Linked DNA regions of Schizosaccharomyces pombe. Each later gene encodes a partner of the first gene's protein in a complex. Each region holds a gene or a part of one and is shown on either strand. Other genes may lie near its edges. The genes, in order: srb7, pmc4, med14 and med20.

Region 1 (5,660 bases):
AACGTAGACAGCGTATTGATTAATGTTTTCAAGATCCATAGTTCTGTCCATCTCACCAACTTTAAGTATGTTTTCAATGGCATCGAGAGCAACTTGAATAATTTTATTATCGGATCCGTTCAACATATCGCAAAGTGGCTTAATAACGCCTTGTGACACAAGGTAACGAATTTGGTCAGGCTGACCGAGACCGCCAGAAGTAGCATTAGAAATAGCCCAACAGGCTTCTTTTTTTGTTTTGTAGTCGGCATATGAGAGTAAATGGACCAATGGAGGTATAAGATTACTTTCAATAATTGCTTGGATTTGTTGGGTATTGCCAGCAGTAATATTGCTAATAGTCCAACAAGCTTCCTTACGAATGTTCTCTTTTTGATGACTGAGAAGACTAGGGAATGCATTGAGAGCACCGCAATCGATTATGATCTGTGTTTGCGCGTCAGTACCTGTTACTATATTCCCCACAGAGCGAAGGGCAGGAGTTTGAATATTAACGCTGGGAGAGCTCAAAAGTTCAACAAGCCTGGGCGCACATCCAACGTCTAAAATGGCGCCAATTTTTTCGTTAGGTCCATCAGAAAGATAGGAGATGGCCCAGCACGCGTCAACAATAATCTCAACGTCTTCAGAATAAAGGAGCTTAGCAAGGATTGGAACGGCTACAGAAATAGTTGACCAGTTAGGTGGTGGATTTTTGCCTCTACACAAGTTAGAAAGTGTCCATGTAGCGTTACGGAGCATAGAAACATCAGAAGCGCTACTCTGAAGAATATTAAGTAAAGGCTGTAAAACTCCGTTACCGAGTACATAGTCACGGCAGGCAGAAGAATCGCCAGCTATGTTACCGAGGGCCCATACAACCTGCTCACGGACATCTTTTTCAGGTGAAGAAAGTAATTGAATAAAACGAGGAACAGCGCCGGAATCAACAACAATACGGGTTTGATCTGTGGTACCACTAGCGATATTTGTTAAGGCCCAAGCCGCTTCAAATTGAAGCAAGTGATGTTCACTTTCTAAAAATTGTACGAACCGGTCAACAACACCACAAGCAATTACCTGATCAATAGGGGGATGCGTCTCCTTAGAAAGATATTTCCTGAATTTCGTGACGGCACCTAATTGTAGCTCAATGTCGTCTGACATCACATCAGCTGTCAATTTAGGAAATTCATCTTTCATTTGTTGCTCCATTTGAACCTGAGACTGATCAGCCTCCTCTTCCACATCAATGTCATTTTGTAAAACAGCGTTTAAATTCCTTCGTTTATTCAAACTTTCCTCACGTTTTTGTTTGCGGATTTCAATTTGCTGTTCTTCACGTTGCCGACGAAGTTCATCAGCTTTGAAAACACCTTTGCTTTTAAAACGGCTTCTTCTATCTGATAAATATCTCGATTCCATTTCTATAGGAATAAACTTTTTTGATATCCTTTTTACTCTTTTTTTTTTAGTTATCTAAGACAGTTGTGGTTGCTGCGAGTTTAATGAGAATAAGGAGGTAAAAGAGCACTTGTGTCGTTCCAAGAAGCAGCCGGCACCCAGGTAACAATGTTCAAAAATAATAAATTTAGAATAATTTGAAATATATCATTTTCCGGTTCAAATCGTTGAAACTTTCTAGATCATTTTTGTTCTGTCATTGGAAACCTTCGCACCATAAAACGGGTAAAACAACATGCTTATTGAGCTCATCAACCAATTTTTCTTGGGTTTTTAACAAGCTGAATGCTATAACAAGAATTCAAAATTTAAAAACAAATGGAATTTTTCTTTAAACAACCTGTCAAGTTGGCCTATTTTTATTTTTATTTTGATTATATAATACATATAGTTGAGCAATTTAATCTTTGAATAAATACTTATTTTTCAAACACTTCCGTATCTGTTTTGTAAGCTATTAATATGTATACATTAATGGTCCATTGTCTAACTAGAATTTATTTGGTAGCTATTATTAATATATATATTTTTTATTTTTTTTGTGATAATAAAGATTAATTCGGTATTTATATAAATTTAGGAATTAACTTAACGGCGCTTGAAAACATATTATCGTCATTCAGTTAAAATGCTCTAAATCATATACACTATAGGAAGTAATCTAATTATATAACATTAACTTTATTAATTCACAAAGTAATTATGAAGACCATATAAACGAAGCTGATAAATCTCTATATCCTTGTTTTTTCCATACATTATTTCTTTCCTTCAGTTGTATGCATCATTTATTTATACTAAAAATTATTAATAGATTGACTATTTAAAACCAGAAACGAAGGAAACAGAAGAGATAAATAAAGAAAGAAAACCAACGATTTCATAAGAGCCAATGAAAACAATATTGCTGTTATAAGCAACCGAAAATATATTTAACATCTGACACATATCCAGTAAAATTATAAGAAACATTTTCTTGCATATTATTAAACCCAAATCCCAAATGACCAGAACGAAGTCTAGTGATTCAAAGCTTATGACTTTGACAAACCTTTGAATGCAACTTCATCCATTTCTTTTTTTACTTTCTTATATAATTCCATCGTTGCTTGGGCATCCTGGACGGAAGAATGCTGTCCAGATTGAATGTCACGCCCAAGAATCACTTCAGCAAGTTTTTTAAGCCCTGGTGTCCTTCCCTTGGCTAATTTCCGATACCCAGAAAATCTGCTGGTATCACGAATCATTCTTCTTGGATGCGATAAAAGTAGTACTTTGAGATCGTTATGGACAGCATGTCCAACCAATACTCGATTGTCGAGTATCTTAGCAACTTCTGCTTGTACTTTTTCAAATGAAGGTGCATCCCGCATGTGAAATGACTTGACACCACTGACCCATGTTCTCCAATCCGTAACCTTTTCTTTAGGACGGACATAAGTATCATACACGACATGACCATGATAATTAACTATACTGACGCGTGCAAGAACTGACATGTCATCTGCCACCCCAACCATTTCACAATCCATTGCAATATATTTCCCCAATGTTTCCAAATTGGTTTTTCTGGTAAGCTTGGAAGCATCCACGCCATATGCGTCAAGGACTTGAGATTCAGGGATATCATTTTCCTTAGCAAATTTCTTTAATTCATTCATGCGTTTTTTATCGACGATATAAGAATTCTCATTCTCATTGTTTTTACCTTTCACACTTTTAAGGTATTTCTTTTCATTAGAATGCTTTTTTTCAACCCGTCCACTCTTAGCGCTGTCGAGTTTCTAAACAACCAATACCGTTAGTATACTTAAACAAGAATCTTAAATGACTTAATGGAAACTATAGCCTTTCATACCTTCTTTAACTTTTCCCAATTGGAAGAAGACATTGCTTGTGCATAAGAGCCAAAGTTGGTGCAAGAAGCAATTTGCAACCTCTTTCAATATGATTCTCAACGCGGTATCACAAATATTTTATCACATTTTAGCACATTTCATTATTTTGAATAAAGCGTTGATGATAGTACGTTACGTTAAGTATCATTATATAAGTCACATGCCTTGTATTTATTTATCTATAGTATATATACATATATTGACAGTGATGCACCATTTGTTGCTTCTTGATGTAACTACTGCCAAATATACGAGACTATGAAATAAATTAACCTCCGTTCTTCGGGTCACCAATGAGCTATTTCAGTGTGTACCCACTTCGTAAGAATATTATAAGGTACCGGTGGTTAATGCATTTCCTAATAAAAGAATATTGTGAATATTCAAGACCCGTAGTAGCATATTCGTTAAACATTTAGTGATTTATGTTTGCTTAAAAGGATAGATTGTATTGAATTTGTAGCATTGTCCGCTATCTTTTTAAAAGCAGAGTACTGCAATTTTAATAACAATGCACCTTCACGTAATATGAAAACACTCAGAATGAATGGATTATCAAAAAGGTACTGAAAGGGGTGGGACTCGAACCCACGAGCTTTCGCACTAGTGCCTTAAACTAGCTCCATAACCACTCGGACACCCTTCCACGATCAAAAATATAATAAATATGTCGAATGTATTACTATTATCATTGTTTTTCTATGTTAATTAAAAATACTTAGCTGATTCTGTAGTTTCTGTAGTTTATTTTTTTTCGCTTTCCATTAATTTTTTTTTAAATTTTATGTACTGTTTTATGTTAAATTTCTTTTGCTTATGTCAAGCGTGATTCTAGCTTAATTCTTTTTCCCGATTGCTAGACAGTCGGTTTTTAGGTCGATACATTACAATTACAAACAATGTCATAAAATCAAAAGCTGTGCATAATAAATATCCGATGCTGAAATAACAGAAAAGTTAATTAGCGATTTATTGTTCTTGACATTTGCGCTTCAACAATTGTTACCTGCATCATGGACCTTCAACAACTTGCGACTTTCAACTCTTTTTAACTCATATTACACCTACATAAAAAAATGGCATGTAGGTGTACTCAGCTTCAAGATACAATTGATGAGGTAATGGGACTAGTTTTCTTTTTCTATTCTAACCTATGTAGGTTGCCACACAATTTTACTCTTCCATTCATTATTTAAGTTCTCATCATGATTTCGTTCCTTTACCTGGTCAAGAAAAGGTTTCTGATTCTAAAGGTATACAAGATTCATTATGATGCTATTCAAAGTAGCTACTAACAAATTATTAGTGAACCCAATTTCTGCTGAAGAGTTACAATGTACGATATTAGACGTCCTCTAGTCATTTTATGTGCTAACTTCTTTTTGTAGTCGCTCAAAGGGATCTAGCAAAAGACTTGGTTACAAAATTTATGCAAATAGACACTTTGATCAACCAACTTCCAGGTATTTCCACTGCACCAAAACATCAATTAGAGAAAATTAAAAAGTTACAAAACTCCATTGAAGAAAAACAATTGGAGAGGAAGAGTTTAGAATCAGAAAATGAAGATTTAAAATTACAATTGGCCAAGAGGATTGAAACATTTGGCCGGTTATCATGTGTCCTATTTCAGCCCTGATGATAATATGTAAGCAAAATATGCATACTAGCATACTCTTCTAGTTGCCAGATTTATTGAAGTTTTAAAATATCTTTGTCTGAGCTAAGAAAGAAGATGTGATCGCTGGAAGTGGGCTTATCATACGGGCAGCCTTAGATATACTGTTTTGACAAATGATTCCATTTTTATTAACGAGCTAATCTTTTTGAATCGATTTACATAAATATCTATCTACTTGTAGTTTTTAGAATGCCTTTACTTCATGCTGACGAGTACTTGACTGAAGTAACTAATTGTGAAAGCAGCTATGAAGTCTTAAAAAATAAACTAATAACAAACAGAATTTGAAAAGTAAAAAAATAGCAAATTAGCAAGGATAGTTTCTTATAGAAGAAAGAAAAAAATCCCTGATTTTTTAGAACGTTTAACGAAATTTACAAAACAATACGCTATTTTTGTTTAAGAAAAAAAAAATCCATTAACCATTCATTGCAAGTTCCTTTGCTATATACGACGGGAATTGAACATCACCATATTCACTTTAACTTAATTGTAATCATGGCTCCATTTCCTTTGAAATCGTTTATTCCCCCTCAAGTAGCGAATCCTACAGTAAGATTAATTAAAAAAGTGATAAATATAAACGAAAATCTAACTAAGATAGGCTTTGAATGCTTTTCCTAGCTCTGCTAGGATGG
Region 2 (8,081 bases), 400 kb from region 1:
ATCAGAATTCAAAAAGTATGGTTTTCTATGTAGGATCCTGAAGAAAACTGCTTGGACTCCTTAGTGGCAGAGCAGATGACAATGAAAAAGAAAGTCTTTTTTTTTTTTTAATTTTCTTTTCGAATCCTTTCTTTCTCATTTATTTATTTATTTTTTTGATATGTCTTGTGCCCCACTAATTGAACGGCCACAGCAGTGTGACGAGGTAAATTAGATCGAAATAGTATACATTTTAAGGACCTGCTGATGAAGTAAATAAAAAGGGTTGATATCGTTAAATTGGTAAGTCACATGTTGGTTTCCGACATTGAGTTGAGAAGAATCATGTAAACATTACCAAATTCATTACCGAAACAATATGAATTAAATAAATAAATAAATAATATTTAGAGTTCAATCCAGCCGAATTGGCATTTTTTTACTTAGCAACTAACTGTCTCAAACGCACCCTGGCAGCAAAGGCGTGAAGGTAGAGAGCGTGTACAAATGCTAATGTTTTGTCGGCTTTTTACAGCGCTTCGTTGCTATTTACAATGAATCCAGCGCGTTGTTTACGGTATAACGACGCGGTAAGCCACAATAAACGGTCGATTGCTACCTCTCGTCCAATCTACCTGGTAACCGCTACCTAAATGTAAACAAAACAGTACGCAAATCCAAGCAGTAAACAATAAAACCAGCCATTAGGTTAGCCAATTAAGGAGTCAAAAAGTGTCCATATTTGTCGATCATTGTTTACTTGGTAGTGATTGGTTGTCAAATTTTCTTTATCGTAGCATACTCTAGAGCGCTCCGTGAGTTGAGAAATTGGTATAAAAGATACTCATGCCCAGTTCCTTTGTTCCATTGTTTAATTCAAAGACGAAAGCTCTAATTTAGATATCCTTTCTTTTCTTTCTTTACCTTTTTCTTTCTTTTTATTTTTAGAAGTCGCTTGCATTTTCTATTTTACACACTTTCCTTTACATACAGCCCGATTATCTGTTTTCTTCGTTAACATTGTTATCGTGAGTTTCAGTTTTTCTTCCTTTTTTTTTTTTTGCTGTCTGTATCGATATCCTTTTTAAAAGGAACTTCTTTTTTTTGAATCGGCCAATCACTCTGTCCAATTGTACATTGCTATTTTGTGTGGAACTGTTTTTGTACTTCCTTTGTTCTTACATTGCGCGGTCCATAAAGGTGCTCATATATATACCCCTTTTCTTTATACCTATTCTCTCTTCTGCTTTGAAGAACACATAAATATATACACACTCACTTGCTTTTCTCTTAGAATTTGAGACGTGCTTTTGAATTGAACTAAACTGGTTTCTTAACAGTTTTTCGTTCTCTTATTCGTTCTTTATATCTATATTCTATCTCTTTATAATATCATTAAAATGCTCTCTTTTACATCGGTTTTTTCTTTTTTCTTGCATGCATTGCTTCTCAAGACAGCATTTTCCTATGTAATCAAGCGAAATAACCCCGTTTTTGACTATACCTCGGAAAAAGTCCGTGGTGTAAACATTGGTGGCTGGTTGGTGCTGGAAAATTGGATCACTCCACAATTGTTTACTCAATTTAGCAGTATGTCGAATCCTCCCACTGATGAATGGGGCTTTTGTGAGGTTCTTGGTGCAGATGAAGCTGCCTCTCAATTAGCTGCTCATTATAGCTCATTCTACACTGAATCTGATTTCGCTACTATAGCTTCTTGGGGTGTTAATGTTTTGCGTATTCCTATTGGGTATTGGGCCTTTAATGTGGTAGACGGCGAACCATATGTTCAAGGGCAAGAGTACTGGCTCGATCAAGCTCTTACTTGGGCTGAACAATATGGCCTTAAGGTTTGGATTGACTTGCATGGTGTTCCAGGCAGCCAAAATGGATTTGAAAACTCTGGTAAGACTGGTTCCATTGGATGGCAGCAAAATGACACTGTAACTCGTACTCTTGACATTATTACCTATGTTGCTAATAAGTATACCCAATCTCAATATGCCAGCGTGGTTATTGGAATTGAGACGGTAAATGAGCCTTTGGGCTATGGTCTGGATATGGATCAACTTAAGCAATACGATTTAGATGCCTATAATATCGTCAATCCTCTTTCCAGCTCTGTTGCTACTATCATTCACGATGCCTATGTTGATCTTTCTATTTGGGATTATGGTGTTGTATCTCCTTCTTCATACAATCTTGTTATGGATGTCCATCGTTATCAACTTTACGAGTCGGATGAGTGCTCAAAGACTCTCGATGATCATCTTTCAGATGTTTGCTCCATTGGTGATTCCATTGCTTCCTCTCCCTACATTACTGTTACTGGCGAATGGTCCGGAACTTTAGCAGACTGCACGATTTTCGAAGAAGGAGTTGACTCTTCGACATTTATTGGACCAAACAGCGGTGATATTTCCACTTGGACGGATGAATATAAGGGAGCTGTTCGTCTGTTTATCGAAACTCAGTTAGATCAATTTGAACGCGGTGCTGGTTGGATTTACTGGACTGCTAAAACTGGTGGACCAAGTCCTACTTGGGATATGGGATTACTTATTGAATACGGCGTATTCCCTCAACCTTTCACTGATAGACAATATAGCTCTTACTGCGGTTAAGCAAAGCCATATCAAAGTTAAAAAAAAATTTTATCTATTCTAGCTGTATAACACTAATTTATATCTCACACATCGTTGTCATGTCCTGTCCTTGCATTTATCATCTACTATCATTTAACGTGCTGCTATCTACTATCCATTCAGTCTTTGTTTGTTTGGCATTATCTTTAGACATTAGTTTTTAATATATATTGTTGTTTTCGAAATCTTTTAGTTATGTGATATTAATATTTTGGTAGCAAGTTCCTACTAAATTAATATTTAGCTTAATAGTTTACGTTCAATATTGCATATTTTTTCGAACTCTATATTAACAGTAGCTGTACTTTGGAGAAAGTTGACCGAGAAATCTTTTTAAAGTTGTCCAATTGAATTTTCAATTATCAAGTATCTTCAGTTTACTTATATGAAATGTATTTTCTGCTCTACTCTTATAAGTCAGTATTGAGCCACATAGACGGACCACTTTGAGTTAGTCTCGGAAAAGCAAATCGACAGAATAGGTTTTCACTCAGCCACAGGTGACATATGTTTAAAATACTTTTATAAAAATTACATTTAAATTGAGCGATTTCTTGGTAAAGTAATATTACACATTTTCTGATCTGATATAGGCTTTATACGCATTAAACGAAATAAGCTCATTAAGCATTCTTTAACGAACTCGCTTTTTTAATTTAATGAGATATCTAATTCACTAGTATGTATTCATTATGTTGTCCCTAACAAGATCAAAATTGTTACACTGTAAATGTAACGTAGTTTGTCGACTAATTTATACGAATAATAGCTTTCTTCTTGCCCAAATTAGTGAAATTTGTTAGACAATTTAAACAATTAAAATCATATACAGAATTAAATTGACTAATTCTATTTAATCGAGAGTAACTTAAGTATTGTTCGTCGAGCGTATATACCAGCTGCTACTTATTGCCCTTGTGGAGGAGGACATTACTGTAATTTACCGTGTTTTAGCACATTAAACCTTTTAAGGATGTCTGTTTAACTAACGGTTACGGATGTTTAAGGAGTAAAAAGTCGAGTCTGCAAAATAACTGTAACCTGACCTACTAGATGATCGAGCAATTGTTGAGTAGTTAGTATATAGTAATCACATATGCTCCCCAATGGAATATCAAAGAGCCATTGATTCTATTGAAGAATGTCTCAATAAACAGTTAAGACTGTCATCCGAAAAGGTTGACCAATATGTACTAATAGAAAACTGGACCTCATTAGTAGGCCACTTGAAAACCTTACACTCTTTAATATCAAATTACACAAATGGTAGAGAATTACAAAATGAAATTAGTTCTTTGCTGAAGCAGGATAAGGAACTGGATTTACAAATTCAAGACTGCATGAGAGAAATGACCTCAATTTATGATACCCATCTTCCAAAAACAGTGTCGGGGAGAAAACGACAAAAAGTTAATGCTGAAACACTCCTTGATTATGGTAGAAAACTTTCCAAGTTTTCCTCTGCACCTCCTGGGTACAATCCCGAGACGGGTCAAGATGCAAAAGCTCCTGTGCATTATCCTTGGCCATCGGAGGACCAGATGCGAAAAACTCTGTTGTTTCAGTTTTCAACTAGCATGGTTCCAAATTTATCGGCTACAGCGTCCCAATTATTTTCTGAACAGCCTCCAAAGACGAACGAGCCAACGGAAACAGAAACAGAAATTGATGCGAACAAAGCCGTTGAAGAAAAAACTAAAATGAATTATCCTGCCTCTCCAACATTCACTACGCAAGAGGAAAATAAAGAAGTAGAATCGCCAGCTAATAAGGATGTCTTTGCAGGATTTGATCTTTTTGATCCAGAAATGGAAGAAGATTTTTGATTCTAAATTGTGTTATTTGTCAAGTGATATCTGGTATTTTACTTTTCTAATTATAGAGTTTTTTGCTTTGACCAAATACCCTTTTGTTTTAAAAATGAATAAAATTACGCTTTGCCGTTTAGACTGTATTTATTTAGCTTTCAGACTTCGCAAAGCAAGATGATTGAACACTGTTCCTTGCTTAACATTTGTCAATTCAAATTTAATTAATTTTAAGTATAATTTTCGAACAATCTACGTTTTCTGAGTTCATTTAATTATGCGTTAGCATGAAAAAATTCCTTTTCTGCGTGATCATTCCTTGCTATGGGCATAAGGCTCTCTATTACAGAAAAACCGAACGATGGGTCTTTTTTAAGGACTAAAGTTGATGATGCATGAATGATATAACCTTTAATATATCCTTGGTCAATTAGAGAAACACAGATACATTCGACATCGTCCATGTCATATGAGTTATCATTTGTACTTAAACGGGCCGCGGTTAACAAGTAAGAACCAGATACGTGCGGGGTTTTTTGGCTTTGCTCAAAAGTAAAAAGAAACCTTTTTAAATTAGTCGAATATTTTAAAAAATCTCAAACGTACACCTTTCTAAATAAATTCCTCCACAGGATGATTTCACATCTATCCAATAAAGTTAGATATATTCCTCGTTTGATAAACCATTTCCTCCTGGAATTGTCCTCCAAAGATAATCTGAACGACTTGATATCACCACTTTTCAAAGCTTTTATTAAAGGTTCGAATGCTGCAGTCAATTTGTATTTTTCTAATAGCCCTTTTGTTGGCGATTTTCCTAATATAAGTAAACACGTTGTAAGATAGATTAGAGAAAGCCTTTTTTGATTAGTAAATATAAACGAATCCTATTTTTGAGTAAAATAAAACATACCTTTTTTGATGATAACACTCATCAGGGCACTGAAGAAACGAAAAAAGTAGATGGTCCTTTGCCTGATGAATTTTGCGTTGATAAAGATGACACCTTCCTAAATAATAACGAAACGTTACTAATTCCGCCATTGTAGCGCGAGAAATATCGGCACCCGAAGAGATGACATTAGCTTGAATAGTTTGGCAAAGACGAATTTGCTTTAAGCGAAAATATAGTAAACAAAGTAAATTGGCAATACAGAATATCGCATCCTTCTTCGAAGGGTTAATGTTTTGTTGACGATCACTCAGTATACTATTGAACGTTCGTAAGACGTTCCTAGATGCATCGCTCACGTATTTCCTCTGTATGAACCCATTACCATCAAAAGAATCTTCTAAAGTAGGTGTAGATGTATCTAGCTGAAGGGAGAGCTTTACATAAAGCTTTGAAACGCGTTTTACAATTGTACACAACCATGCTCCATCGATATGGGAGAAGCAAGTTGTCAAGTTACTAGAAAAACAAAAGTGAGAAATAATAAACAAAAAGTTTTTAATTACCTATACAAGTTTTGTAACAATTCCCATTTTCGTTGATCAGGAGAAGATGCAGCATTTTCAACGTACTCAAAATAGGTAGTTACCAATTCCTTCCAACCTCTTATTCTTCCAAATTCTTTTTGAATGGTTCCGTTTAACTTATTTTTCCCCTTTCTATCCTTTATCACGGTTAGTTAATGTTATAACCTGAAGACAATTACTTGTAGTGCAAGCCTGCGACATACCAAAAAAAGAGTTTTACTGAGCTGTTGAAACGAGGGCTCTGATGGATCTAAAATAATACATTTCTCCAACGTATTGGAGTTTTTCTCTCCAACAGCGTTACTCAAAGTTTGCAGAAAGTCATTTAAGGACATTCCAACCTGTTCCTTCGCAACTTTTAGTACTAAACTTTCAATTATTATGTAACGATAAATAAGTTATAACAAGAAAACTCAACAGATATGTTTTCGCTTACATCGATGTTCTCCAACTCTCACGTTCTGAACCTCATATACGAATAACGAAAGTTAGCAGGTCGTAAACCGGTATACGAGGATTGTTAATAGCACAATAAAGAGACATACTAAGAGTACAGCAGCATTCCTCAAATTAAATGCTACCAGCATCAATCCCCAAAACCGTAGCACTTTATATTGATTTAGTCTTAATCATCTCGGTTTGAAAAGATTCTGTTTCGAGTCTTTGCCAAGAATTAGGGAAATAGTAAAATATGCTTTTACCTAGTATTCCCTCGTGTTCATTTAGCTTTGTTGTTTTCGTTTCCGTTCTTCTCCAAACCTGTTTTAGTTTTCAATTAACTCCCTTAAGTCCGAAAAACTATCCTCCCGGTGCTTCAATTGATACAACTGTCAATACCATTTCACCATTTATTGGAGATGGACGGGGTTCTGACATCTTTAATTATGAATGTACGTGGTTGATAGCTCACATGAAGGTTCATGTGTTTTTTTAAAAACTTTACAATTTTAAATTAGGAAAACACTATAGAAATATGATTTAATGAAGGATATAACATTTTCTCTCGAACTTTTTTGCTTGTTACTAACTTCACTTTAGACTACGATGAGCGTTTCCACTTCTGTCGACCAGAGAATATCGCAAAACAATCTGAGTCACTTGGAAGTGTGCTTTTTGGCGACCGTCTCTACAACTCTCCCATTGAAATAAAAATGCTTGAAAACCAGGATTGTGTTCCCTTGTGTGCCTCGATAATTCCCAGTTCAGATGTCAGTTTTATTAGAGATTTAATCTCCAAAAACTACGTTGTTAACTGGAACATAGATAATCTGCCCGTAGCAACATATTTAGAAGGGACTAACTCAAAGAACTACTCATTATCGCCAGGCTTTCCATTAGGCAAGAATACGGAGAAGGGAGTAATTCTATTCAATCATTATGATATAGTTATAGAATATCATACGACATCTAGTGACCAACACCGTGTTGTGGGTGCTTATGTAAAACCTGTCTCAAAGGAGTCTACTTTAGTTGATGGAAACCCAGTTTGTTCTTCGTCTTCAAATCCACAGTATTTACCGGAAGGAGCTGATCTTACTCTCGTGACCTCTTACTCAGTCTCTTGGAAATATTCCGATACTCCATGGGCTACCCGATGGGACAAATATATGCACATTGAATCTAGGCAAATTCGATGGATCTTTATTATCCATTCCGCAATTATTGACACATTTCTAATTTTTGTGGTTTCTATTATTTTGTACAGAACGCTAAATCGTGACATTAATAAATATAATAGCGCCTTTGTCGATCAAGAAGATGTTCAAGAAGATTTTGGTTGGAAGCTAGTTCATGGTGATGTATTTCGTCCACCTCGTAGACCCATGCTATTTTCTATCCTTTTAGGGACTGGTGCACAACTTCTTTTTATGAGCTCTGGTATCGTTTTATTTGCAATTTTTGGCATTGTTGCACCCTCTCGTCGTGGAAGTTTAGCTACAGCAACGGTGGCCTTATTCATTATATCAGGTTTCGTTTCTGGTTATGTATCTGCATTATCCTACAAACTGATGCAAGGTATGCTTAGAAAGCGAAATCTTCTGTTAACTCCTTTTGTCGTACCTGGTTTTATGCTTGCGGCAGCTCTTTTCTTTAACATGGTATTTTGGAGTAAAAGTTCATCATCAACTGTACCCTTTTCAAGCTGGCTTCTACTCATTTTCCTGTATCT
Region 3 (9,707 bases), 1.9 Mb from region 1:
TGGTAGAGACATAGAACAAAAGAATATAGGAGCTATCACTGCTAGCGGTCAAAATACTACTTGTACAATCTTTCACAAAAGTTTCGGTTAAATATTGACGTTGCTGTTTTTGACGGGCAACTAAACGCAAGTCTTCAATTGCGCCTAGTGAATTGGGGTAATGAAGAACAATATCAAGAATGTTGTCTGATCGCAAATGAGCAAGTATTTGAGAAACAAGATGGTCTAACTGAACCAAAACCGCTGGATTCGACAATGAAAATACATGTTCAACAAGAACCCCAAATTCGGTGCGAATCCACTCCAATGCTTCATGGTAAACACTCTGCTCCCAAGACATCGCATACCGTGTTGTTAAAAGAGAGCCGACATGCAACTGCAATACATATACAAACCTTTCTTTTAACACAGAAGACAGCCCCAGCTGCTTAAATTTTTCACACAATTGAAAAAATTTCTCCATATCCAAACAAGGATTCGTTTTACTCTCTAACCATACTTTTAAAACTTGATCCAGATATTCTGTTAGAACGCTTTCAATCACCGAAATGGGCAAGTACCTTCTACAAAGGCAACGGAAGCATGTAAGGATTCGGTCGAGTTCAGGACTTAAAATAGGACTTTCTAAGACACTCTGTTCGTAAACAAGCCAAAAGTCACTTAGTTGGTCCGTTAAGTCGTGTAGACTGCATATGTTTTTTAAATCAATCTTTAAGAGATTTTGGCGAATAGTGGTATAGAAATGAATTCTCAACTTGTCAATAAAATCCAATACTGGTGTTCCCTGTGTGACTGAGCTCAATTGATCGATCAACAACGAACGGCCAGTAAAGGTGGACAGATCAGTATCATTCATTATGCTTTTAATTTTTTCTGATAAATACTTTAATCTTAAAATAAATGAATTCAAGCAACTACAAATAATCGATACCAAATCGACAAGTCCTTTCTACGTAGTCCGATAACACAAAGTAATGTTTTCAAAAGAAAAAGGAATTAAAAATTGAAGATTTCAAGACAAATGATTGAAGGAACACTCACTTTTCCTACTAGTATATCTTCTGGTGGTATTGTTTACATTTGGTAGAAGAAGACCTTGCAATTGTTAGTGTGAATGCGATGAATAGCAAACTGCCTTCCACATCACAACCACAACAAGAAACTTAAAAGGAATTCAATTTTTGAAAAGACGGTATCTAAAGAAAATCATATACCAATGAATAACATAACGAAATTAATGAAACAAAAGAATATTTTGACACCTCCTTTGCCTCTGTACCGAAGGGTGTTGAGAGCGCATCGCTATCACCTAGGAGCAGAAGAACGAGCTTTAGGAGATGAATATGTAAAGGCGGAATTTCGAAGACATCGGAACGTAACAAATCCTTTGCATTTAGTAGGATTTTTAAGCTCGTGGGAGAGGTATGCGGATGCACTAGAAAACGAGAGCTGGAAACAGGAAAAATACAGTAATACGGATCTACTAGAATCTTTAAATGACCAGCAAATCGGACAGGTAAGAAAACTTATATTAGATTGAGGTTTATTATTAAAAGAAGAGAACTTTTACCAGTGCTCTTGAACTTATTGCTTCTTTTTTTGGACCTATAGTTTCTAACTATTATTGGCAGTTGTACGAGCTCTCAAAAGCTCTTCAGGAACAGAAAAAGTCTGAGTAGTGGTCGCGGAATCTGATTCTTTATCAGACATCTCTTTGTTATTAGAAGGATTTTGATTGTTTGAGTTGTCGTCATTTTTATTGGCACTTTGAGACGACATCTGCAAATCGTTATTAACTCGAGCATGTGCAAGCTCAACCAAAAACCTATAAAGTTGTTAATGAATGATCTGGACTACTCGTAAAAAAGTGAACGAGATGTTCAACTTCCTCATGGATAAACGTACCATGTTAGCGACAGCCACAAACAGATTGCCAGGAAAAATAAGATGAGACAATGAATACTTTTTGTACCTATATAAAGTCCAAGAAAAACAGCGACAAGTGCACCACAGGCTACGTGTGCTGACTTAGCCAATACAGGTGTGACACCTGGTGTGAAAATTGATTCCCATAGTTCCACCCAATACGACATGATCTTTTTCTTATTGGAATACTACTTGGAAATGTAGTAGCTATGAATTGACGTTGTTAAACCACCGTTTGTGTTCTAGCGATAAAATCTGGCCTTTATAGTGTGCGTGTGCTATTGAATTAATTTAGCAACGAGACCGATGTTGGAGTTCATTAAAAGTTAAAATGGATTTCAAGAAATCCATATCTTATACTACTATTAAAACCGAAGGTTATGCTTCCATTTGTCCAAATTTATTGTTAATAGAGCTTTGAATCATTCAAATGGAATAGTGCTCTACTTTTGTTTTGCTATATTAAAAATTTTTTGTCAGCTTCTTGTGGTCGTGGAGAAAATAATTAAATGATCAAAACAAATGTTATTTTTCGGCTTAGCTCTTCTAAATTACTGTTTTATTATCATTTTAATGAGACACGCTGAAGCTCTGATTAAAATTGATAGCAAAGTTTGAACAGCTTTAATGATGATTTTCGTTCAGTTTAAAGAAGGGGCTTTTTAACTACTATAGAATTACGAGAATCTTTTTGAACGGTTCCATCTCATTTGTTATTCTTCATTATCCATAGTTTCAAACTATGTTTTATGCGATTATCGCATAACAGGGCATGTTTATACTAGCTCAAATTTATTCAAAATCTCCCATTTTAGTAATATCATTGATCAATTATTATTTAATTCCATTTAAAATTGCTTATTTATTGATTATTCCAATTTTTTGAATGAATAAACCTAAGGCGTTTTAACAATCTCAGTGAATGGCGTAACGAAGGTTATCGAAGAGTTTCACGGGAGCTGTGTGAAGTTGCTTTTGGCACGCTACTCGAAGATTTCTGTAAAAGAGATATAAAGAATCCTTTTTAAGGGTTTTTAAAAGAACAAAACTTATGTTTATTACGAAATTTAGTTTTGGTAAAGGATCGGCTAATTAAAGGCGCTATTACACGAAATTCCTAACTCCTCCAATTGAGGATGGAACCGCCTGCGATTCCACACATTACAGAAGGATTTTATCCTCTTCCTGAGATAGTAGAAACTTTTAGTCATCATGTGTTACAAGAATTGGTGTCTTTAGCCGAAGTTCTACCCTCTATGTCAAATGTCGAGAAAAAGAAAAAGATCTTAGATTGGTTATTACGTTCGCGCGCTTTCACTATGCGTTTGCTAGTTTTAGCGCGTTGGGTACATCTATCTCCTTCAGTTCATCGATGCATAGATGTTGTAGCCTTTCTTCAAGGTCAAAAATTTTGCTTCCAGAATTTAGTTCATGTGTTACAAGATATTCGTTACCAGTTGTCATTTGCACGTCTACGCAACTCAGATTTAGTTACTGCATTAGATATTTTGTCAACTGGCACGAGTCTTCGTCTAGCAAATGCTCCCACTTCAAAATTATACATGCTATCTGAATCACCGCTAAGTACCAAACAAATACTTCAAACCCTTCATGCTCTTAACATGCTTATTAGAATTCGTCTTAGTCTTTATGAAATTATTCCGACACCATTTCAACATTTCACAATTGCTAATGGTCGTTGCACATTTACTGTTCCCAATGAGTTTTCAGTGTCTTTGACAACCAATTCCCAAGATCCTAAATCTACCGGTATTTCATTCCAGTGGATTGTTGTTGACTTTCAATTTCATCTTCCTGATTTTTCTTCTACTCCCGCAAAATATCGGGTTTTTATAGAATTGCATCTCAATGAAGAAATCGCTGCTGCATTCGTTCTACAAAAGCCCATCCTACCTTTAATATATAATATCCTTCATAAATTTTGTTTATATCAGCGCCTTAATTTATTGTCACAACAAACTTTTCAACTATCCAGAGAAAGTTGGTTAGGGCATTTGCGCGGTGTCTATGATGAAAAGCCCCCACGGCTACGTCTATACTATTGGCCCCAATTAAATGTGAAAAAAGAAGGAAAACCCGGAAAAATTGGTCATTATATTCATATATTTGTAAATACTCAACCCATATCCGCCTTTGAGCGTACCCTTAGCTCTAAGAGATCCAGTTGTGAATATGATCATTTTTTATTACTCGTTGAATGGCACCATGATGGCATTGTTGAACATGTACCATTAGATGATCATATGGATGCTCAGCATCTACTATTATTAATTACCCAAAAACACGCTCAACTTATTCTGGAACAAATCCGTAAGGAGCTTCACCCAAATATATTTAGTGAACATGTTGGTGGTGGTCTAAAAATTCATGTCTTTGATAATGAAATAATTGTCAAGGTGAACAGCGTTACCGGCAGGCTCGTGCTGTCGAGTTCGGCTTCACCTTTATCACCTCCCAGGCATCTTCGTGCTGCTGAAAAAAATATTGCTTTGAATACGCAACCTCCCGCCCAAATCTTGAATCGGTTGTATTTCTTTTGTATACAAACGCAGCTATTAGAAGTTGCCCAGTGTGCTGAGTTGCATGCAGTTCAAGGTTACTATTCTTTCCCTTATCTTACATTCTCCAAAGGTAAATGGAGAAAAGATGGCGATTCCCTATGGGTACTCGCGTACAACGTTGAATCCAACTCTTGGTCTGTTAGATTGTTGAACGCTGCGGGTCAAACTCTCTACACCCAAGATGTTCATACTACAAAAGGTACTTTAAGTATTGAAAGTTTTAGCCGTCTTTCGTACCTATTGGAAGTCCAAATACTTTTATTCAATGTTCAAACTGCTTGCCAAGCTCGTGGTATGCCTTTTGAATATTTGCCTATTCCACCAAAAGCCCTAATTGAAGATGACTTTACTACATACGTCCAAACAGGATGCTTATGTATTATGATGCCATCGTCTAATGAAGATATGCTTCCTGTGGTTTTCGTTCGCGCGCATGACGGGCAGTTAATTTTTGACTCCCGAATAAAAGGAAAATTGCCGTATCAGTCTGAGACTGAAACTGAAAAGAACTGCTACATAGATTGGAGAACCGGTCGTATTACCATTCGTGTGCAAAATTTTTCATCTTTCGAAAAAACATGGATTGGATTACTTAAACTTGTTGCTTTGTCTAAAACATCTGCATTCAATGTAGATTGTATCACGTTAAAGCATGTGGACTTTACATATCTCGATGATGAGAAATTTAGGGCTACAATTCATGACGACAACACTTTTACCCTTCATTTTTTTAATCGACATAGTCCGTTTCATCTAATTTCTCAGTTTTTGCAGGATACATTTTCTGATGGGCCCTCAGCTATTCAACCATTACGCGTAATTATGGATAGAACGAGAGGTGTTTTAGTAGCTCAAGAATTGGGCTACGTTGTTTTGGCTCGATCTCTGCGTCAGTACAGAATTATCCTATCCAAAAATCATGGCATTCAAGTTCTTTTAAATCGCCATGGATGTATACTCCAAGATTTATCCTACTTATCTGCCGATTCCCGATACTTGGAAGGAACTCAGACTTTGACGTCTCAATGGGAACCTTGTTCATGGCTTAATACTGTTTGGGAAGGTGACTTGGGTGATGATGAGCTTAATGGTCAGATTGAGGCCGCTCCCGAGATGCACTTAATAAAGATGAACAAAACGGCTGATTTAACAGCCATTCTAAAAAGAATTTTAGCGATCTCTCGAAAAAAATGAACTCATATTAAGCTTTTAATCCTCACCCCCTCCACCGTCCATTCCTTTCGGTGGCAGTGATTAGTGATTGTATATATAAATACGGCAAAAAATGTCTGGTTAATGAGGTAAATGAAAATCGTTTTCTAAAGTATACAAGTGAATGTTACATTGATGATACATGTGATTTATATAATCCAACGTGTAAATTAGAGATCGTCGAATTAACGCTTAATCATTTATGAATAAGCAAAAAACTTCCGTAGGTAAAATGAATTTCTATTATAATCGCCATAATCCCAAGTTTATTCAAAGCTGTGTTCTTTTAAGCTAATAAATTTTATATTGAATCTTTAAGTACCGCTGGCATCAACATACGTTGATCACCACTAGCAGTTGCAGTTCTTAAAGCTTCTCGTAAAGCCATAGTAGCGTAAGCAGAAGATGGAAGTACAAATTTTAACGTAACAGCGGTGTGCTTACCAACCTCAGAACTCACTGAAATAGAACGGTTCTCCAATCTATCCTTATCCGTCAAAATCAGTTGTTGTTCCATATTGTCATACTTTATGAAATTAAACTCCATATTTTCAGGACGCACCAAAAGTTTTCGATAATCACCAGGTAATGAAAGTTCTCTGTCTTTGCGAGACATATTTAATGGATCAAGTGATGCCTCATTCATGACAGACTTGTATATATCGAAAGTTTCATTTTTTGGGTATATTACATTACGACCAGGTAAAGGAAGTACTATGTCGTAAATACTAAAGTTATTGACTTCGTCCTCTTCAATCGGACGAGCTGATAATTTTGAGCTCACAGGTAAATCTTCTAGAAGATCAGGTGCCTCTGGGTCAACAATAGGGCTTTTTTGACTTAAACCATTAGACTCAGTAGAGTAAACCAAATCTCCCACAACAGGACGATCGCCCAAATTCTTTATCCGCCAAGAAGCAACTCTGTTCCAAACGTAAGATTGATATGCATGAGGGTAAATACTTCTCAAGTGACGGGGAATTCTCTGGAACGCTCCTAAATAATCAGTTTGATTACCAGATCGAGACCATGTTTCCAAAATGCTGGATTCAGCTATCATCCTTCGAGGAAGAATGCGAAGAGAAGCTTCAGCATCATGAGTGGAATGCCATAAATCAATTGCTTCTTTGACAGAACCGGTATGCTCGGGCCTTGGTGATAAAATTAGGTCGACAGCGCCTTTCCAGTCTGATTGTAAAAGACGAACTCCAATGGTATGTGTCCCGACAGAACTGGTACCGAATCTTTGTAAACCAAAATAGTTAATAAACCCGTGCTCTTTTAAAGAATTCAATGCTTCAACAACCTTCTCTTTAGGCGTAATAACATTACGCACTACAATGTGAAATTCGTTTCCCTTCAAGTCTCCCAATCTTAAATTTGAATTTTTATAAGAATAATTTCCCAAAAGAAAACCATATGTGGAATTTTTAAGAGAACCAGAGTTTAATTGTGCGAGTCGAGATGCTCTAACATGATGAATAGCTACGCGTTGACAGGTTACGCCTCTTCTATCTTTGGTTCCAGCAATTGATAAAGTCCTAGTGGGGACTTTGAGGAGGCGGGCAATTTTACCAAGACAGTCCATAGAATCTCTGTTCTCCTTATACAAATGGAAATGGCAATATTCACCACCCAAAGCCTTCCAACTTAATCGGGGATCTCTTCGTGATCTAGGCTGGTTTTTTCTGGTGGTCTTTGACACTGTAAAAGTTCCATTCCCTTTTGTAGAAGACTCGAGTCCAGAAAAGTTGTTTCGTATGAATTGATGTAAGATCGTTCGCTGACCTTTATCCATAGGAGGAGTATTTTCGGGAAGAATTAATGAGATGGGATCAGTTATTTCACCAACTGATAGCTTATGAAGAGATTGAATAAATTCATTACCAATTCCCTTAGGTATGATACTTTGGAGGTCATTCGGCAATATAGGCAGTGTAGCAGGTTCTTGTTCCTTAAAAGAAGGAGCTTTCTGGTCATTACTTATATCTTGATTAGAAGAATCTTTTGCGTCTTCAGTTTCCTTGTCTCCGGTTGCCTTCGAAAGGATAGGATCGTGAGCTTCCATATCAGTTAAGTGAACTATATTTCCATCTGTATCAACTTCAAAAACAGCAAAATCCGTGAATCTTGCTTTAATAATTCCATCGATTGAAGGAAGATTTGGATTCAAAAACGCATCAATTCCTACATCTGACTCGGTCATATAAAACTTCTGACCGCTCAAATCTGAAGGAGCGTTGGCTTCATCTTCTAATCCATTTCTTTCCAAATTCCTTGAAGACTCAGATTGGTCAATCCGAATCCTTTTCCTAGGGACATCCACATGGTTTTCTTGGGACATTGCTAAAGCGAATATACAAATTTCAAAACCACTTGAATGGGATTAGCTACCGCGTTAGTATTCATAAAGCCATGTTAAGCACACTTTCTGCATCTAGTTATAAGGTGGATCGACAATGCTCAATAGTACATTATTACGAGGTGCGTATGACATTCATTAAAATTATACCACTCTCGACCATAATATATAATTTAGTATACCGAAACGAAGGATCTCGGAAAGAACTAAGAAAAGGAAAACAGACGAGGGCTACTTGAAGAAAGACGCCAAATATCAATGCCCGAGAAGGATTGGATTGGGGAATTTGGTCCCTCGAAATTCAAGAGCCCAATTGATAAATTAAATCAGCTTCTTCCTGAGAGCAATGACCCTTCTATATTGTACGAAACGTCCCAGCACCTTTTGTCTGAGTTTGATAAAACACTTAATGACTCTCTGAGAGTTTTGAACCAACAAATCAATCAAGTTTCAGAGGTCCTTCCCCGATTACCTACTATGATATCTGCGCTAGATCGTGAATCAAAACGCCTTTTTGAATCTTGCGAAAAAATGGATCCTGAACCTAGTGCTCTGATGCCCCTTCAAGAATTGGAGAAAATCCGCTCAAATATTCAACTCACAATTTCACAAATTGACAATCTTACGCCTTAAATTATTTACTTGCTGTATCCTTGTGCGCTTTGGTAAGCGTGACTACATTGAGTATATGTTTCTGGTTGTTTGGTTCTTCGAAAAACTAACATAAAAAGTTAGAATATTTCATGTAAAACAAATCTTTTTCTATGATTGTATATATGCTTGTTTTCTTCCCGTTGTATATATTCGAACGGTTCATCTATCGTTTACCATTTCTTCTGAATTACCCTACAGGTTTGATTTTTTTTTGACACTCCTCCACAGTGGTACATAAACGTATTGAACCATTATTGCTTTCGATTTGTTAGAAATAATACGGTGTTTTCTGACCTTGCATAAAAATTGATTATCTTCTATAAGCTAATTCTCGATATCTGTGTTTATTTTTCATGTGTACATTGTGAGTATAGGTATATATTTCGATAGGTTGTACACATCCTTTTTTTTTTACTTTAATCCATGAAATTACTACCACTTTTGACTTCTGCTTCTCTTGTTCGAAGTTCTGGGAATGAGAGAGCAGATGTATTTTCATATTTGTTTTATTTAATATCAAATTTTACAATTTTTTTCAATTATTAATTTACCTCAATTTATTTTAATATGAAATATAGCAAACTAATCATTTTCTCAAAGTAAATAAAAACGCTTCTGTGTTGGTCAATCTCGTTATCTTTTTGATTTTTATATACAATAACATTTGCAAAACAAAATTTGCGTATCGGTTTGCTATTATTGCGAATTTTAACGTATCCTTATCAGGGTTTTGAATACTTCGCTTTAAGGAACAAACGACCTTTACCAATTTGAAGTTGTCTTTCACCAACATGCAGTCTCCTGTGTTTGTTATGAGTAAGTTGCATTTCTGGTATTAATTTAATTAACCAAAGATACAAATGGCAACCGACAGGTTGGCCACAAGGCCCAGATGTCAAATATACAAGCTGCGAAGGCTGTCGCTGATGTACGGTTTTTTTCCATCCTCTTAAGCTTTAAACTGAGGTTTG
Region 4 (7,607 bases), on another chromosome or scaffold:
CATTAATTGCTAGAAATCAAATAAATTAGAAAAATCTTAAAATCAATCTACGGTGATGTGAAAATTTGTAATTTTTAGTTTCATAATCGCAAGATCAAAGCTTCTTAGCATCTCTATGTCAATCAAAAGTGAAATATGAAGCGACAAAAATACTAGTCATGCTTTTTTCTTACTGAAAATTCGCCTCTTAGTTAAAACAACGTTTTTGCTATGTACGATCACCATGATCTGTACATTCATAGATTTTTATGTGTCATACCATATATCCAATCATGTCACTTTTATATTGATTTATTTAGGAAATGATTGGGCTTTCTCTTGATTCGTTTGATTTACCGAGATATAAACCGTGTTTTATATTTCGCATCTCCGGTTTAGCATACTTTACCAGGACCACTAACCAAGGGTGAATAAGTTAAGTCACCAGCAGATATTCCATTTAAATCTAACACCAAGTTTGTTATAAGTTTGTTCTTTCATATTTTCCTTTGTTTATTATTATTTATAAAAGGGGAATTTGAAGAAATCCTGGAGTTGACCCTTAGTAGAAAATTTTCTATAGTCTAAACAAAGCGAAATTTTTTTTTTAGAAGATGATGTTCTGCAAGCTTCTCCGTTGTCAAAACGGTATTGCTAGCAAAAGAGCTGCATTAAGCCTAAAAGGCTTTAAAACCTCTTCGATCAATTTAGTCGAGAAGAAATTGAACAAGTATAGTGAAACAATCACTGGTCCGAAGTCTCAGGGTGCTTCCCAAGCTATGTTATATGCTACTGGACTTAATGAGGAGGACATGAAAAAACCCCAAGTCGGCATTGCTAGTTGTTGGTATGAAGGAAATCCTTGCAATATGCATTTACTTGATCTCGGTCGACGAGTGAAAGAAGGTGTCAAAAAGGCTGGATTGACCGGATTCCAGTTTAATACTATTGGTGTTAGTGATGGTATTTCTATGGGTACTACTGGTATGCGTTATAGTTTGCAATCTCGTGAGATTATTGCAGACTCCATTGAGACCGTCATGCAAGGTCAATGGTATGATGCCAACGTCTCTATTCCTGGCTGTGACAAAAACATGCCTGGTTGTTTAATCGCTATGGGAAGATTCAACCGCCCTAGTATTATGGTTTACGGCGGTAGTATTCGTGCTGGTCACTCTCCTTGTCAGAACAATGCACCCATCGATATTGTTTCTGCTTTTCAATCCTATGGTGAATTTATCACAGGAAAAATTGATGAGCCAACCCGTCATGACATTATTCGTCATGCATGTCCTGGAGGTGGTGCTTGTGGTGGTATGTATACTGCAAATACAATGGCTAGCTGTGCCGAAGCTATGGGTATGACATTACCCGGTTCTTCTTCTTACCTTGCTGGCTCACCTGAGAAGTTTGCAGAATGCGAAGCTGCAGGTAGTGCTATAAAGCGACTTTTGGTTGACGACATTAAACCTCGCGACATCATGACACGTTCTGCTTTTGAAAATGCTATGGTCTTGACGATGACTCTTGGTGGCTCTACCAACTCTGTTCTTCATTTGATCGCAATTGCTAAGTCTGTTGGTATCACTTTAACTTTGGATGATTTCCAAGCCGTCAGTAACCGTACACCGTTTATTGCCGATATGAAGCCTAGCGGGAAGTACGTTATGGAAGATTTGTTCGCTATCGGAGGTATTCCTTCAGTACTTAAATATCTCCATGCTGAAGGTCTCATCGATGGTTCTAATATTACCGTTACTGGTAAAACTCTCGCTGAGAACCTACGAGGATTCAAGGACCTTGCCGAAGGTCAAAAGATCATTAGACCTTTGAGCAACCCCATCAAGACCGAGGGTCATTTACGTGTCCTCCGTGGTTCTTTAGCCCCTGAAGGTTCTGTCGCAAAGATTACTGGCAAAGAGGGCTTGAACTTCACCGGCAAAGCTCGTGTTTTTGATGCCGAAAACGATTTTATTGCTGCCTTAGAGCGTGGTGAGTTCAAGAAGGGCGAGAAGACTGTCGTCATTATTCGTTTTGAGGGACCAAAAGGTGGACCTGGTATGCCGGAAATGTTAAAGCCTTCAAGTGCTATTATGGGAGCTGGTCTTGGAAAGGATGTTGCACTTTTGACTGACGGTCGTTTCAGTGGTGGCTCTCACGGATTTTTGATTGGACACGTTGATCCCGAAGCACAAGTTGGAGGCCCTATTGCTCTTGTTCAGGACGGCGATGTCATTGAAATCAATGCTGTAAAGAACACTTTAGATTTGATGGTTGATGAGAAGGAGATGGCGAGACGCCGCAGTGTTTGGAAGGCACCTCCTTTGAAGTACCAACAAGGAACCCTTTTAAAATATGCTCGCAACGTTAGCACTGCCTCCAAGGGTGCTGTTACAGATTCCTTAGAGTAAAGCATATTCAATGCTTTTATAAGCGCGCATAGTATTTTGGAAACTTAGACGTTTAATGTTTTGGTAGTAAAGGTTGATTAATAAGCTTTTAATGCTGATTCCATAATCTCATCTAGAGTTTATTTGAATAATTTTGAATGAATAATTACTTTTTGGAGTACAGTGAAATGCATCGAGTTTAAAATGGGTTGTTATTCAAACTCCTGCATTTCTATTTTATTATTAAACATAATTGGTATCTGTAAATGTGAAAGGGAGCCATAACTTTCTGCTGACAATAAAGCAAGACTTTGACAGTTAGTTAGATAGAAATTTATTTACAGAAAAAATTTAAATTGATACTTTTTTATTCTATGTGCGTTGTGAAACGGTATCAATGCGTTGTTTAAACAACTGTAGTAGAAGTTTTGAATCCAAAGAATGACGAGGCTGGTTAAAGAAGCTTTCATAGACAGGGGTTACCGATTTATTATTTTGTAAAAAGCATTTAAGAAAGAATTCTTGAATAATAGGGCGTGCGAGATCGACGGACTCAGTACCATCGTAAGTTACATGAAAAAGTATACCCTTCCAAACGGACTTTTGTAAAACGTTGGCAATAGCCACTTTAAAGCTCCCTACTTCATATATTGAACCTTCAATAGTAAAGGACTGCCGAAAATTCCATAATTTCGTTCGCACAATGATGTCCTCAAGTTCAGGTTCTGCATCAATCATTGTCGCTTCATCCACACACGCCAGCATGCTGGGATTAATGTTTTGCTTCAAAAATTCTAAAGTTTTTGGAGTGACAGCATTTCTGTAAAGTTTATACTGAACTACCCATTTTTCTGAAATTCAAAGTTAGATCTTGAAATCATCAATCATAAGAAATAAAATCCAAACCAGTGTCAGCTTACTTAAATGTTGTGCAAAGTAGGTCCTAACCAGATTATCCTGTGCTGGAGAAAGGAACGTCGCCATTGAAGGCGATGAATAATAAATAACTCTATAATCAATCAGCAAAATAGTCAATCGGTATGCTTTTTACCCGTGAACAGGCATATTTTATAACAAAGATGAATGGTAATTAATTATGCATCTGAATATCGGTTTATACCGAATTATTGAGAAAAATGGCCGAATTAGTTCTTTTACTTCTACTGTAATGTTGATGTGAAGAGTTTAATGCGTACGGCGGTTGCAAGAATTGCTAACAGGCTAATTTAAAACCTTCATTTTCATTGTTCCTGTATTAAAAAAAAAAAGCAGATAGACATAATATGAGCTCAAATTTTATTAATTTATCTCTTGTCATTTTTATTATTTTCCAAGTCGCAAAGTATATGGCTTTTGGGTATGATAATCCCAGAGCAAATTGTTAAAAGCTTGAAGAGAATTAAGTTAACTGAATTACATTCATAATTAACTTCTGGAGAGTCAAATACTACGTAACAATGTAACTGGCTGGTTTGAGCACTAATTAAAAATCTGTTAATCCCAGGATGTTACATATGTGTCTCTTCGTTTTACTTTGAACTTTACACAAGAAACTACATAGTTCTGTCAGCAAAATAAGTCTTAAAAGTTATTGTTCGAATAGAAGTATAAACTCATACATCAATATACATACTGAAAATAGATAGAAGCAAAAAAAAAATTACTTTTAATCTTTATTCAACTAATTACTAGGCTGTATCTAACATATTTTCTTCTGAATCACCATAGGCAGAAATGTAAAATATGTAACCAATTTCTGTCTACAAGTTATTCAGAACTTTACATCTAAGACCAAAGGTAGAGATGATTATTTACAAATAAAAAAAAATAAACATCCACAAAAGAGGTCTATGGAGTACTGAAGAAGTTAGTAATGCTGTTACCAGACTTATATAGCTCCGCTCAAAAATTATAAGTTAAAGTTATAAGATTAAAAAAATATAAATATATTTTTTTGAATTTTCTTAACTTATTGGTTAAATTAATATACTCTATGAATTATAATAACTTCAGTTACAGACTTGCGTTCGACCGTTGTATGATGCCTCTTTAGAGCTACACACAGCTGAAACTTAACCTGTTCCATCGTTTTCTTTACCTTACCAGTTATAGAGTTATAAAATGACGTTTCGGACTTTGGATGTCGACTCCATCACAGAACCTGTTTTAACAGAGCAAGATATATTTCCAATTCGTAACGAAACGGCGGAGCAAGTCCAAGCAGCCGTCTCTCAACTCATTCCTCAAGCCCGGTCTGCCATTCAAACGTATGTTTATTTAAAAGAAGCAATTTTTTTATTAATTAAAATAGAGGAAATGCCTTACAAGGTTTGAAAACCTTACTCTCATATGTTCCTTATGGAAATGATGTTCAAGAAGTTAGGGTATGTGCAAACTGTACAAACTGCTTAAAGACGGTTTATATCAATTACGTTTTTATTTATTGATTAAATTTACAATTCTTCTTGATTTCATTTTATTATGGTGTAAATGAATTTTAACTTTTTTAGACTCAATATTTGAATGCTTTTGTTGATGTATTAAGCAATATACGAGCTGCTGACATTCCCGCATTTGTAAAAGAATGTTCAACGGAGGAAATTGATAATATTGTAAACTTCATTTATCGTGGATTGGCGAATCCTCAAGCCTACAACTCGTCTGTATTACTTAATTGGCACGAAAAGGTAACTTTTAGTTTATTGCTTTTCCCAACGCTCTAGCATTGCTTATCTCATGCTTTACATTTTTATTCGGTCACTAATACGGTTTTGTAGGTGGTGGAAATATCCGGTATAGGATGTATAGTTCGTGTTCTCAATAGTAGACCCGATCTATAAATATGGCTTTATCTTACTTTTTGGTATCTACTATTCTGTCGCTTATGGAACTGAATCAATGATTCTGTTTTATGTCTTCTTTCCCACATAATGACTCTTTTTATCCTTTAAATTGAGCTAGAATTTTCTAAATGGTTAGTAAGTATGTTCCATTTTAAAAAATAAAGTGCAATCGATTTACGCCTTTGCTGAAAAGATAATAAATCTAGTTTATTCAATATTAGCTTACTCTTTGAATACTTCGAACATGTTCTGGCTGTACTCTTCTTTCCCCAGTCTTAGCCGCTTCAATATTGGCTTCTTTTAGTAAGGATTGTAAGAAAAGACAGTAATCCAAATATACCTTGAAAATTCTGTTAGTTGAAAACATTCAATATAAAAAATTTGAATATCTTTATTAGAATAGCGCGTCCAAAAAGATACTGACTGAGAAATAGCTAGTTTCATTTATAACTTTCCATACCAAATCCAATGCGGAACTTTCAAGGCTGCGCTGGCAATGCTGACGAAAAAATCGTCTTATGCGTGCTTTAGGATAGCTCATAGTAAGTAGTTTCTTGCAAAAAAAAATATTAATCCCGTTTAGTTTTGTAAAATTAGAGAGTAATCATATCTTGCAAGGATAGCTCTGTATAGAAAGTGATAATCGTTGTGTCGTCTTCGAAGAAGGTAAAGTGCGAGTCCTTTTGAGTCATTAGTTCGAAGGATTCTACAAAGGTGCTATTGCAAATCAATTTTTTATAAATTTAATGTCATATTATTAATTGAAATTTTCTTAGTAAAAGTAATTATTACGTACAAAGATTAAAGCACTGACATTGCAAATTATGTGTCTTTGTTGTCAAAACAAGTTGGAATATTATATCAATTAGCAGCAATCTTAAGCATGAAAGCTTTTAAATACTTTGAGTTCATTTGTAAGCATGTATTTACTCGCTACTACTTTAAGAAAAGAAAAACTTTTTACTAGTATTTAAAAATTTGGTTGCTGGTTTGTTTTGCTTGCTCTGATTACACACGTATATCTGAATCTGTTATTTTATTCTTATTTAAACTGTGATTGTATGCATATTATGAACCTCTAAATTGCCTTCATTTGGAATATTGAGCAAAATACTTGGCAAGTATGGCGACTAAAAGAAAACCAAATTAATATTTACCGAGTTTCTTTGCTATATTTCCTGGAAGTTAGTCGCTTGTGATTCCGAATTATTGCTTTCCGCGACCTACATAAAATTCTGCTTTTAAACGAGTCCTTCACCACTACCTTGTTATAAAGAATACTAAGATCCGCTGTTAGGCACTAGAAGATTTTTACTTTAACTTCTCAAATTCGACAAATTAGAAAAAAAATTTTTTTAAAAACTTGACAGACAGTCTCAATAGAGGTAGTAATATACGTTTTCGTTACTACCTTACTTACCAGCTCCTTCAAGCGATTCATTTCCGAAACAATCATTTACACGCCAACTTACTATTGACTTTAATATCGAATTATCTTGTTAATTCTGCTTCTTATAATGGGTGATCCAACAAATAATAATGATAGTGAAACTAAACCAAATCCTGCTACGTACTGGAAAAGCAGATTTCCTGTTGCTCGTATAAAAAAGATTATGCAAGCAGACCAGGACGTTGGAAAGGTCGCTCAAGTTACTCCGGTTATTATGTCGAAAGCGTTGGAATTGTTCATGCAGAGTATAATTCAAGAATCGTGCAAACAGACGCGATTGCACCAAGCAAAGCGTGTTACCGTTTCTCATTTAAAGCATGCTGTTCAAAGTGTTGAACAGTTTGATTTTCTTCAAGACATTGTTGAAAAAGTACCGGATGCTCCGCCCATTAAAGCCGAAAGAAAGACAAAACGCCCCCGTGCTCGTCGAGCAGCTAATGAAGGTGAGCATAATGAAAGTGTTCCCGCTAAAAAAGTTAAAAAGAATACTGTTAAAGAAGAGGAAATTGAAAAAGATGACGAATCAGCTACCACAGAAACTCCTGTCAAAGAAGAACCTACTGGTGAGGAAACTGAAGCAGATCACGAGGAGAAAGCCTCTGTTGATCATGGTAATTTTTCTGACAAGACAACTAGTGAAGCCTCTTCCGCGTCTGGTGATGAGTAGCTACTTTCTCCACCCTATATGACCATAAATATAATGTCTTTGTATACTTTATTCTTGTTTTGCTATTACATTTATTCTTATCTTCCCTTTTTTCTTGAATTTGTTTTCAGAAAATATTCTCAAGCTACTTGTACATAGGACTATAAAATTGGCACATTAATTCTAGTATTTTTAAGCCTTTTCTTCGACTTAAGAATATAATACGTTCTGGTTGTTCATATTGAGCTTTTTTAAAGTGCCTTATTAATGTACTATGAAAGACCAACTTGGCGTCTACT

Evidence for each region.
Region 2: srb7 (region 1) and pmc4 share a complex: the UniProt entries of both Schizosaccharomyces pombe proteins name them as parts of the mediator complex.
Region 3: srb7 (region 1) and med14 share a complex: the UniProt entries of both Schizosaccharomyces pombe proteins name them as parts of the mediator complex.
Region 4: srb7 (region 1) and med20 share a complex: the UniProt entries of both Schizosaccharomyces pombe proteins name them as parts of the mediator complex.

Annotation. Positions count from the first base shown.
Region 1 is NC_003423.3:3,912,370-3,918,029, reverse strand, and holds srb7 (mediator complex subunit Med21), read left to right. Parts: upstream 1-4,391; 5' UTR 4,392-4,417; coding exon 4,418-4,459; intron 4,460-4,500; coding exon 4,501-4,594; exon of another isoform or gene 4,595-4,647; coding exon 4,648-4,677; exon of another isoform or gene 4,678-4,725; intron 4,726-4,729; coding exon 4,730-4,980; 3' UTR 4,981-5,160; downstream 5,161-5,660. Other genes in the region: importin alpha family nuclear import signal receptor adaptor Imp1, read right to left, coding at 1-1,404; exoribonuclease Rex4, read right to left, coding at 2,478-3,227, 3,302-3,334; atp17 (F0-ATPase subunit F), read left to right, coding at 5,521-5,574, 5,627-5,660. UniProt on the Schizosaccharomyces pombe protein: Component of the Mediator complex, a coactivator involved in the regulated transcription of nearly all RNA polymerase II-dependent genes.
Region 2 is NC_003423.3:3,513,759-3,521,839, forward strand, and holds pmc4 (mediator complex subunit Med4), read left to right. Parts: upstream 1-3,702; 5' UTR 3,703-3,730; coding exon 3,731-4,450; 3' UTR 4,451-4,707; coding exon of another isoform or gene 4,708-4,996; 3' UTR 4,997-5,038; coding exon of another isoform or gene 5,039-5,290; 3' UTR 5,291-5,331; downstream 5,332-8,081. Other genes in the region: cell wall glucan 1,6-beta-glucosidase Exg1, read left to right, coding at 1,380-2,603; TREX/TREX2 complex subunit Pci2, read right to left, coding at 4,708-4,996, 5,039-5,290, 5,346-5,843, 5,891-6,048, 6,115-6,246; EMP70 family endosomal transport protein Emp70, read left to right, coding at 6,603-6,801, 6,950-8,081. UniProt on the Schizosaccharomyces pombe protein: Component of the Mediator complex, a coactivator involved in the regulated transcription of nearly all RNA polymerase II-dependent genes.
Region 3 is NC_003423.3:1,992,284-2,001,990, reverse strand, and holds med14 (mediator complex subunit Med14), read left to right. Parts: upstream 1-2,897; 5' UTR 2,898-3,062; coding exon 3,063-5,702; 3' UTR 5,703-5,985; downstream 5,986-9,707. Other genes in the region: anaphase-promoting complex cullin family subunit Apc2, read right to left, coding at 1-856; sdh7 (ACN9 family protein), read left to right, coding at 1,217-1,516, 1,632-1,679; V-ATPase assembly factor Pkr1, read right to left, coding at 1,615-1,825, 1,906-2,093; pus7 (pseudouridine synthase), read right to left, coding at 6,022-8,064; SPOM_SPBC1A4.11C (uncharacterized protein), read left to right, coding at 8,341-8,715; chaperonin-containing T-complex gamma subunit Cct3, read left to right, coding at 9,528-9,552, 9,591-9,664. UniProt on the Schizosaccharomyces pombe protein: Component of the Mediator complex, a coactivator involved in the regulated transcription of nearly all RNA polymerase II-dependent genes.
Region 4 is NC_003424.3:2,346,154-2,353,760, reverse strand, and holds med20 (mediator complex subunit Med20), read right to left. Parts: upstream 3,569-7,607; 5' UTR 3,435-3,568; coding exon 3,421-3,434; intron 3,379-3,420; coding exon 3,290-3,378; intron 3,221-3,289; coding exon 2,742-3,220; 3' UTR 2,517-2,741; downstream 1-2,516. Other genes in the region: ilv3 (dihydroxy-acid dehydratase), read left to right, coding at 594-2,390; ARP2/3 actin-organizing complex subunit Arc5, read left to right, coding at 4,491-4,636, 4,681-4,753, 4,880-5,056, 5,147-5,209; CENP-W family protein Wip1, read right to left, coding at 5,310-5,336, 5,439-5,552, 5,673-5,753; negative cofactor 2 complex subunit Bur6, read left to right, coding at 6,730-7,329. UniProt on the Schizosaccharomyces pombe protein: Component of the Mediator complex, a coactivator involved in the regulated transcription of nearly all RNA polymerase II-dependent genes.